2 linked regions of the Macaca mulatta genome follow. The protein of the gene in region 1 purifies or fractionates together with the protein of each later gene. This does not show direct contact. Links are inferred from orthologs where the notes say so. Each region holds a gene or a part of one and is shown on either strand. Other genes may lie near its edges.

The links.
Region 2: the proteins of PA2G4 (region 1) and NCL purify together in Homo sapiens (affinity purification with mass spectrometry; 3 studies listed by BioGRID and IntAct, with this or other methods). This does not show direct contact. The link is inferred for Macaca mulatta from reciprocal best matches to the Homo sapiens genes PA2G4 and NCL.

What each region holds. Positions count from the first base shown.
Region 1 is NC_133416.1:63,252,923-63,257,438, reverse strand, and holds the start of PA2G4 (proliferation-associated protein 2G4), read right to left. Parts: upstream 2,830-4,516; 5' UTR 2,634-2,829; coding exon 2,546-2,633; intron 797-2,545; coding exon 668-796; intron 389-667; coding exon 283-388; intron 190-282; coding exon 120-189; intron 1-119. UniProt on the Homo sapiens protein: May play a role in a ERBB3-regulated signal transduction pathway. Seems be involved in growth regulation. Acts a corepressor of the androgen receptor (AR) and is regulated by the ERBB3 ligand neuregulin-1/heregulin (HRG).
Region 2 is NC_133417.1:136,719,999-136,724,382, forward strand, and holds the start of NCL (nucleolin), read right to left. Parts: upstream 3,001-4,384; 5' UTR 2,860-3,000; coding exon 2,842-2,859; exon of another isoform or gene 2,649-2,841; intron 1,986-2,648; coding exon 1,869-1,985; intron 678-1,868; coding exon 197-677; intron 1-196. UniProt on the Homo sapiens protein: Nucleolin is the major nucleolar protein of growing eukaryotic cells. It is found associated with intranucleolar chromatin and pre-ribosomal particles. It induces chromatin decondensation by binding to histone H1.

The sequences.
Region 1 (4,516 bases):
TTTGCTTCTCTAGACACTCTCTTGACCTGCGTGGTGATTGGGGGTGGGAATAAGAAGGAAATAGCGGTGCATTCCCTACACCCCCAAGGCTGAACAGAGATCAAAAGCAGGCCACCTACCTGAGCTACACCAACCACAAAAGTATGTGCTACATTAGCGATGAAGCCATCCACATGGACCCCAAGGTCACTGAAAGGCAAGATCAGAGTGTACTGCATTAGGAACCGGCATTTTGTAAATGCTTTAAAAAAAGAAAAATGCTTTAAAACGGTTTAACCTTACATTTTTACCAAGTCACCTTCCTTGAGAATATAATCCTGGTCGCTCTTCAAAGGGGAGAAGTGACATACACAGTTATTTACCGAAATGCTGGTGGGAAAAGCAATACCTGTAAAGAAAAAATCATCAGCCTACTGCCTTGCTGTCTCCCAGAAGCCCTAGTGCCCTTCAGAAGAGTGGAAGGATTTTTTCAGGGTCTTGCTTAAGTTTCATCAGTTTGTATTAGGTAGGAAACTGCTTATATCCCACTTGTCATTCCAAATTTCCAAATATCTCAGCCAGAGCCAGGGTGGGGACTGCATCATTACAGTGAAAAAAATAAAAACATATAGGACCAAATAAGGGTCAAACAGGAAATTAGTGAGGGATTTTTTTTTTTTTTTTTTACCTTTCTTCATTTCCTTTTCTTTCTTGAAGATTTTCCCTGTTTCTTCCATAATCATGGCATCACCTTTCTCACACAGGCTCAGTACCGACACACCCGAGCTAGATGCTTCCACCAAGGACCGAAGTACCCCTGAGGACAGAATCCCATCATGTCAGCCTTGTATGTATTCATTGTCTAGTTACCTCCCAAGGAATACCTGGAAGTTGAACTTAAGAGTTTCTAATGCTCCCTAGTGCCATTGCCCTGAGGCTGAAAGGTCAACATTCCCTTCTCTTCCTTACATTATGTGACAACTGGGTATATGCAATCCATCTCCTTAGGCAAGGCCTCGGACTTTCCAAAGATGCTACCTTTGGTGTGACAGGACAGAGTTATGAACTTCAGAGAGTTCTTGCCATGGTATCCCCACATACATGGAAAGACTAGATGAAATTTATAGGCATCAGGGACAGGAATGTAGACAGAATTGCTGACTCGAAGCTGAAGCACTGTTAAATGTTACCGCCTTCCTTTCTCAGACACTCTAATTAGGTGTTAGGAATCTCAATCTATGTAGACTTAATTCCTCATAAACAAGTGTATAAGCCAAGGGGACTTAATCTAAGGTCCCTGGGTTTCATTTTGGGGGATCATGGCTTATCTCAAAGAAATATGAGGCCAAAGTTATAAACTGTAAGAAAGGGATTTTCTGATTCAAATCCCTAGTATCTCAAATACTAAAAGGCACCAAAACCAGGGTACTATACTAAATGTCCACTGTGATATAAAGCACAGGTTTGAGTTTTGAAATCTCAGTTTTGGTGATTCTTTGAAAGCGGGTAAAACTCAGATTTTCACCCACAGGATGGGAGGCATCCTAAATACCTCTTTCCCACCATCTTTGCTGTTAAAACCATTTAAAAACACAATGACAAGCAGTTTGTATCTCCCTAACTGGGTTTTAAATAAAATGGAAAGGCTAACTAGAAAGAGAGAAAAGAGAAAGTGACATCGCCTAGAGTGGCAGGCAACTGCTGAGATCCTCAGAGCACAGCTGGAATAAGGATGACTTGTGAAAATCCTAAAATCAGTCCTCCCTTTTCCAGTAATGTTCGCAAGCTTGCCTAGTTGGGATAAGACGGAGACCCCAAAACATTTGAGTTGTCAAGTCACTTTGAACAACAAATGTGAATGCTAACTAAGGCTATCTGCACAGATTGGAAAGGTAGTAATAATGAGTAACTTCAAGAAAAGCCATATATATCTCCAAAACTTGTGTTAGAAGCTCCAGGAGTGCTCTCCAACGGTCCCCTTAGCTGGCCCAAGGGTAGAAGGGGGCCCCCACCAGGGTAAGAGCTGAAGAAGGAAAGGCTCCAGCAAAGCACGTGGTGGGGAAGCTGGTGTCAGGGACAGTACTGGAGGAAGAAGGGGGCCAGCCATCCGCAAGGGGACCCAGCAACACGTGCCGGCTCGGCTCCTGACGCCCCGCAGACGCGACAAAAACAGAGGGGCGCTTCTGTCGCCAATAGCTGGGCGCTTCCTTTTCGAGGTGGCCTCGCCGTTGCCAGAATCAGAGGAAGCAGAAATCGGGAATGAAGGATAGGAACAAGAGAAAACACGTCTTGCCTCCTAACAAACGGCCTCGGGTCGGAGCCTGCCAGGTTACCCTCTCTCCGCTCATCCCGGTCGCCGACCCGCACCTCCATAGACTTCAGCCTGGGCCTGGCCGCTCAGGTCCCAGGAGCGACACCGGGTCTTCCCACCACGCCGCCCCCAGCGGACTGGTGCGGGCCCCTCAGTAGCTCAGTTCGCATGACCCCTCCGCTCCAGCCCCTTCAGGGCCAGCCTGGCACCTTTCCCTGTCAGCCTTGATTCCCCGACCCCCGAGGTCGCACTCACTGTTGGCGATGTCGCCCCCCATCTTATACTTGGTCACGACCAGGTCCTCGGCGATAGTTTGCTCCTGCTGCTCGTCCTCGCCCGACATCTTCCTACTACCACCACTGCAGCCTCGTTTCCCCTGAGCCGCCGCCGCCTCTGTCTCCCTTCCCAGCCACAGGCTGTGGCCAGAGTCCCCTCGATCCTCGAGGAGAGGGCGAGCGAAAGCGCGAGCAAGCAAGGGAGCAGGCAGGCAGGCGAGAGCGAGAAGCTGTGAGCGCGCGGGCTGAGGCGCAGGGCACGCTGGGAAAACTAGTCCTCTCCACCGCCAGCCTTTAGCCGCCCTCGAGGGCTTTCGAACTACAATTCCCAGCCTGCCGCTCACGCTCCTAAGCCAGGCCCTGGGGCCTTGCCCTCCAAGGGCCTCGCACGCCGGAATCGCCGGGCACGCTGGGAAGGGTCAGGCTCCGGCGGGAAGGCGGAGCCGTTGGGGAGCTTGAGGGGAAGCGTGGTCTCTCCCGGAAAAACCACTTCCACCGAGAACGCTGTGCGAAAGCCAGTAACAGAGGGGCGGGCTGAGGGAAGAGGGGCGGAGCTACGGCGGGGAAATAGGTTTAGAGTCGAGCGAGCAGGGGTGGAGTAGAGTGGAGCCGCGGCGGGTGGGCAGTGTCTGCACCTAGGGCGGGGAGGCTGGGTGCGCCCTTCCTCGGATACTTGGGTCGGCTGGCGAAACCCGCCCAGCCGGTTCAGTCGTCCTCCGAAGCTGGGAGAACAGGGAGGGGCAGACAGGTGGAAGAAGACCAAGGGTGCTGGGAACGGGGGCCAGCTGCGCAGCCGGACACCGGAGGGATCATCCATTTAAAGGCCTCGTAATCTAGAGGCCGGACTCCTAATGAAGTAACATGACATTATTGTTCCAATAACAGGCACCTGGATGGGGCACCTAAGGGAAGTGTTCAGAAAGACATGTTTGTTGAGAGTTCTTACCGTGAAAAAATAAAAAGATTTGGTGACTTTTCTAAGATAATGAATTCAGAAGCATCTGGAGGTTTCAGTATTTGGCCTCTGAAGGAGACTGGACACGTATAGGGCTTTTTATAAATCTTCAAGCACGTGGGTTCTTTTTGTTATTCCCAATTGGTTGCCTTGTAGATTTCTACTAAAACCCTTAATGAAAAGGACTATGCGCTATGCTTGTTCTAAAGAAATACCAAGTAATAGTAGGACTAGAGAAATCTACATGGGACAGAGTAGCACTGTCAGAAGACAGAAAGGTGACTATCCACTGCTGAGGAGCAGATCTCTTATACGAAATGTTTTCACTTGACAGACAGGAAGCTGAAAAAAACTTTGGCATTTTTATTCAGACATGTATAAAAACAAAACAAAAAACTTCAGTGATACAACAGACATTTTCCCTCAGTTCCCCATCCAAGGGGACAGAGGTGTGAAGCTGAAGCTGGATCTTCTTTCTGTCCTACCTGGAAGCTTCTCACTGCTAGATGAGAAGGGCTTCTAAAAGGGGATCTTGGGGATAAGGAGTGAAGATCATATACAGCACATGTGGATTATGGTTTACACAAAGATGTCCAGTTATTTTTCCTTCTGACTACCCCCACCACCACTTCCTGAGACGAGATGTCTGGGTATAGGAGGAGGATGTGGCTGTTGGGGTTAGACTTGATTCAGTGCAAAAACAAGAAACGGTGCCCCGTAAACAAGGGCTGTGACTTAAATCAGTTTTCCTTGGCACCTTACAGTAAGAGCACATGCACAGGAATTGGGAGGATTTTGCATCCTGGACCTACTGCTTAATTTATTTCATCTCTTTAAGGCTCAGTTTCTTTTTTTTTTTTTTTTCCCTGTAGAGACGGGGTCTTGTTATGTTTCCATAGGCTTGTCTCTAATTCTGGGCTCAAGTGATCTTTCCATCTCAGCCTCCCAAAGGGCTGGGATTGCAGGCATGAGCCACAGCGCCCAGTTCTAAAGTTT
Region 2 (4,384 bases), on another chromosome or scaffold:
TCACAGAATGTGCTGTTGAAATTTTCTCAGGAGGGACAAAAATCATTCATGGGTAATTAAGTCTAACACACAACAGCCCAGAGAATTCCCACAAGGACTCTACTCTCATCTCCAGGTTGTTGTGGAATATGTTGATCCCAGAATCTCAAGATATCTTGCAATCAGAAGCCCAGTAACTACCAAGACAACTCCTTACCATCTTCCTCATCGTCATCATCCTCATCCTCATCATCTTCATCATCCTCATCATCCTCATCCTCTGAGGCAGGGGCAGCAGCTGCTGCTTTCATCACTGCTGGTTCAATTTCATCTTCATCCTCATCTTCGTCCTCATCATCCTCATCATCTTCCTCACTGTCATCCTCCTCCTCTTCATCACTGTCTTCCTTCTTGGCATTCTTACCATTCTTTGCCCCCTTGGCTGGGATGGCAGCACCCTTCTTACCAGGGGTTGCTACCAATGCTTTGCCTGGTGTGGCTCCCTTCTTGCCAGGTGTGGCAACTGCTTTGGCTGGTGTAACTGTCTTCTTGGCAGGTGTTGCTGCTGCCTTTTTGCCTGGAGTGACAGCTGCTTTCTTGGCTGGTGTGGCAACTGCAACCTTTTTTGTTGGGGAAACTACCACCTTCTTTGCTGAGGTTGCAGCAGCCTTCTTGCCTTTCTTCTGAGGTATGACAACCTTGAGAATAAATGAAAACCAAACCAGTAAGTCCAGCCCCACACCCAAAAAGATAACCATGGTCCCAGTGAGTGTTAGATTCTGCCAATGCTTCTGGTTCAAGACCACATGCGCTAGACACATGTTAGCATGTTAAACTCCAGGCTTCTGTTATGTTGTCTTAGGTCAGAGCCCTTATTATCAGGTGAATACCCAGCCATAAGGAACCCTTTTGAACACTTAAAATACCTCTGAACCAGACCTCTGAATTCTTGCACCTCATATTTTCCCAAACCCCAACTTTCTCATCTGAAAATGGTAATAGTATCATATTACACGTATAACAATAATGAAGTGCTATGCGTAAATTATTCAGAACCTTACACCTAGGAGGCTCCAAGCATTAACGTATTAAATCATTTGGGGCTCCTATGGTGGATGGCAGTACTGAGTCCAGTGAAGCTCAATTCTTGGGACCTGAGATAAAATGAAGATCAAATAGGCTAAACCTAACTATCCCTTACAAAACTATCACACATCAAAGAGTGAGCATGTTAGTTTGATAAAAGCCATCGTTTAGCTACATGAAAATCCCATAGTTTTATTAGGCAATGTGTGGAAGAATAAAACTTTTATTCAATTCTCAACGAAAAACCTGAGCACAATTCAGTGCTCAGATGTCTTTACAGTGAGCAAATAAAAGGCCAAGACTGCCAAAGAGTAAAGAGGGTCAATGTTAACACAAAGAGGTGGCAGCCCTCAGTCTACACCAAAGATAACTATAACGCAGTGAGTAGAATTACAAAGTTTATATATAATGGAATGGAGACCAATTAATCTTAATTGGAGGCTAGGAAAGGAATCTGGGAAGGTTATCCTCAGATCTGAATACAATGCCCAGCTCTACATGTCGGGGTGAGGCTAACATGTTGAAACTGGAAAAATTTAATGATTTAACACAACAAATCACACTCCTTGCCCTGCAGAGGCACATGGAAAGGAGATCCCCAGACCTCTTGTCTCAAACTCACATTCAAATACTTAGCCAAATGACACCTTGACATGTCAGTGAAGAGCTTGTGAAACCACCACTACAATAGGACATACCTGGATGAATAAAATCTTATTTTAGCCACAGACATCCAATTTCATGTCTTAACTCTCCATTGTTGTAGTTTTAACACAATTCTGCATTAAGCTAGATAAAATTACCTCTTCTCCACTGCTATCATCTTCTTCATCTTCTGACATTTCTTCATCTTCACTATCTTCTTCTACCTCCTTTGGAGGAGGAGCCATTTTCTTGGGGTCACCTTGATTTTTACCTGCCTAAAATGGACACAAGTAGGTCATTACACCTCCACCTCAACATTTCAGGCCATTCATATTTTGCCATTACTGTTCATAGTAAAACGCCATCATCTCTCCTTTCTCAGATCCATTTCTCATAGTGCCAAACAGCACAACATCAAAACGAGTCCTGATGGCAATGCAAGATGGACTACTCTCAACCGCCCACAATTTTCCTCCCGGGCTTCACAAACAGAAAACCCGCCCGAAGGTAAGAAGTAACTACCTTGGTTTTCTCATGAACATTATGCTTTTCCCAGCAAGACAACCCCGCCCCTTAAAGAGGCGGCGCGGCCACGTGGGGGTACCTGGTAGGCCACCACGTGCCCGAAACACGGCGCAAAAGGCACGCGGCAGAGCCACCTTCCGGGGCCCACCACGTGTCGGCTTGCCAGGCCAGGACTCCGACTAGGGCCGATACCGCCATTTCCTGGCGCAAGGCACCGGTGCCTCTGGAGATTCCAGGACCTACGCGGCGCGGCCCACGTGGCAGGCCGCGCTCCCGGGCACGTGCGTCAGGAGTCGGGTCCCGACTCGTATGCGTCGCAGGAGTTTGGTCTCATCTCCCCACCCCGGGGCCCAGCGCCCCCTCCCCGCGCTCAGTGACTCCGTCTTTCCCGCCGCGTTCGCCGCCCCCAGCACCTGCAGAAGCTCTTCACCTCGCCACCAACTAGCCAGAAGCCGCGAGACCTCCCCACTAATCGCGCGAGACTTCCCGCAGCATGGCGCCCTAGAACGCGCCCGGGACTGCGCGCAGGCCCTCCTCCCCGCGCCGCCGCGCTCGCCCCTCGGAGAGCAGGCCTAGACGTCTGCGCTCGCGCTCAAGGCCGTTTACCTTCGCGAGCTTCACCATGATGGCGGCTTATGGCGGCGGAGTGTGGAGCGGAGAAGTGGCGCAGATGAGTCCAGAGGAAGGCAAGCGACGGCGATGGCGGCCGCGGGTGCTGAAGATCCCGGAGCACGTACACTCGAAGGCCAGCGAGAGCTCGAGACTGAGGCGAAAGACTGAGCCTGCCCAGTAATCGCCTGTGGAAAGGCGACGACGGCGCCCTCGTGACTCCGTGCCGACCAACCAGAGCTCGCGGCAGTCCCCCTGAGCCAATCGCGAGCCTCTAACCGAGAACGGCGCGGGGCGGGGAGTGGGCGGGCCGAGGCGGCCACGGGAGGGGGAGGGGCTGGCAGCCGTGCCGTCGGGGCGGGGCTCGCTTTGTGCAAGGCCGGCGCTGATTGGGCCGTGGGCGCGCGGGTCCCGGCCTGCGCCGTGGGACTGGCGTTTTTGGCGCCGGCTGTGAGGGGACTTCGGGGGTGGTGGAATCGGGCGGTCTAGGGATCTCCAATGTGGCTGGCTCCCTAGGCTCGGGCAGCCTTGGAGTTCCTCAAAGACCCCGCGCGCGGCCCCGGCACGCACTCACGCCGGCGCTCCCGGTGGCCCTGGAGAAAGAAGCCCGCCAGCCCCGGAAGTTCAGGGACCGCGGAGTTCCCGTTGGCCCTTTCGGAGGCACAGCTCAGCCCTGCTTGCCCGCGAGCATGGGACTGGAGACACCCCCGGCTGCAGGCAGTCTTCTGAGAGCCGTTAAAGGCAGTCGCGGGTCTGTGCGAGGTTTTTCTGTGAGAAATGCACGAACCTCCCCTACCCCACAGAACCTCAGGCGGGAGATATTTCTCGTCATGGGGAACGGCCTCGGAGAAGTAACTTTCTGGCCTCACAGGGCAAGGAGAGGGGCCTGGGCGGGCCGACCGCAAAGCCGGGCCTTTGACCGCCCACAGGTTCCCTGGTTGTTATTTGCGTCGAATGCGCCAATTAAGGTGGTGGCTGCTAAGTCAGTGTCACCAGATGGCTCGGGAGCAGGTCGAGAGCCACCGGCAGGGTTCCCCGGCGGCAGGGCGAAGGAGGCCGGAGTGACTTCCACGGTTAGCTTTGAGGGTGGGCCTCCCTCGATGCCGGGCTTAGCAAACCAGAGCATTTCCCTCCGTCCAGGGCCTGCCTGGGATCCATCCAATCCATGGGTCCAGGTATGGATCCATCCATACCTCATTGTTCCTACAGAACCAGGATACCTGCAGCTACGGCGGTACTTGTTAAAAATCACCTCAGGCGGGGCGCGGTGGCTCAGGCCCGCAGTCCCAGCACTTTGGGAGACCGAGGCGCATGAACCGGGGAGTCGGGGATTGCAGTGAGCCGACATCGCGCCACTGCACTCCAGCCTGGGCGACAGAGCGAGACTCCGTCTCAGAAAGAAAGAAAAGTGTTTGTTAAGGCCAGGCGCGATGGCTTATGCCTGTAATCCCAGTACTTTGGGAGGCTGATGCAGGAGGATCGCTTGAGTCCAGGAACTTGAGACTGGCCTGGGTAATATAATGCGACCCTGTCTCTACAA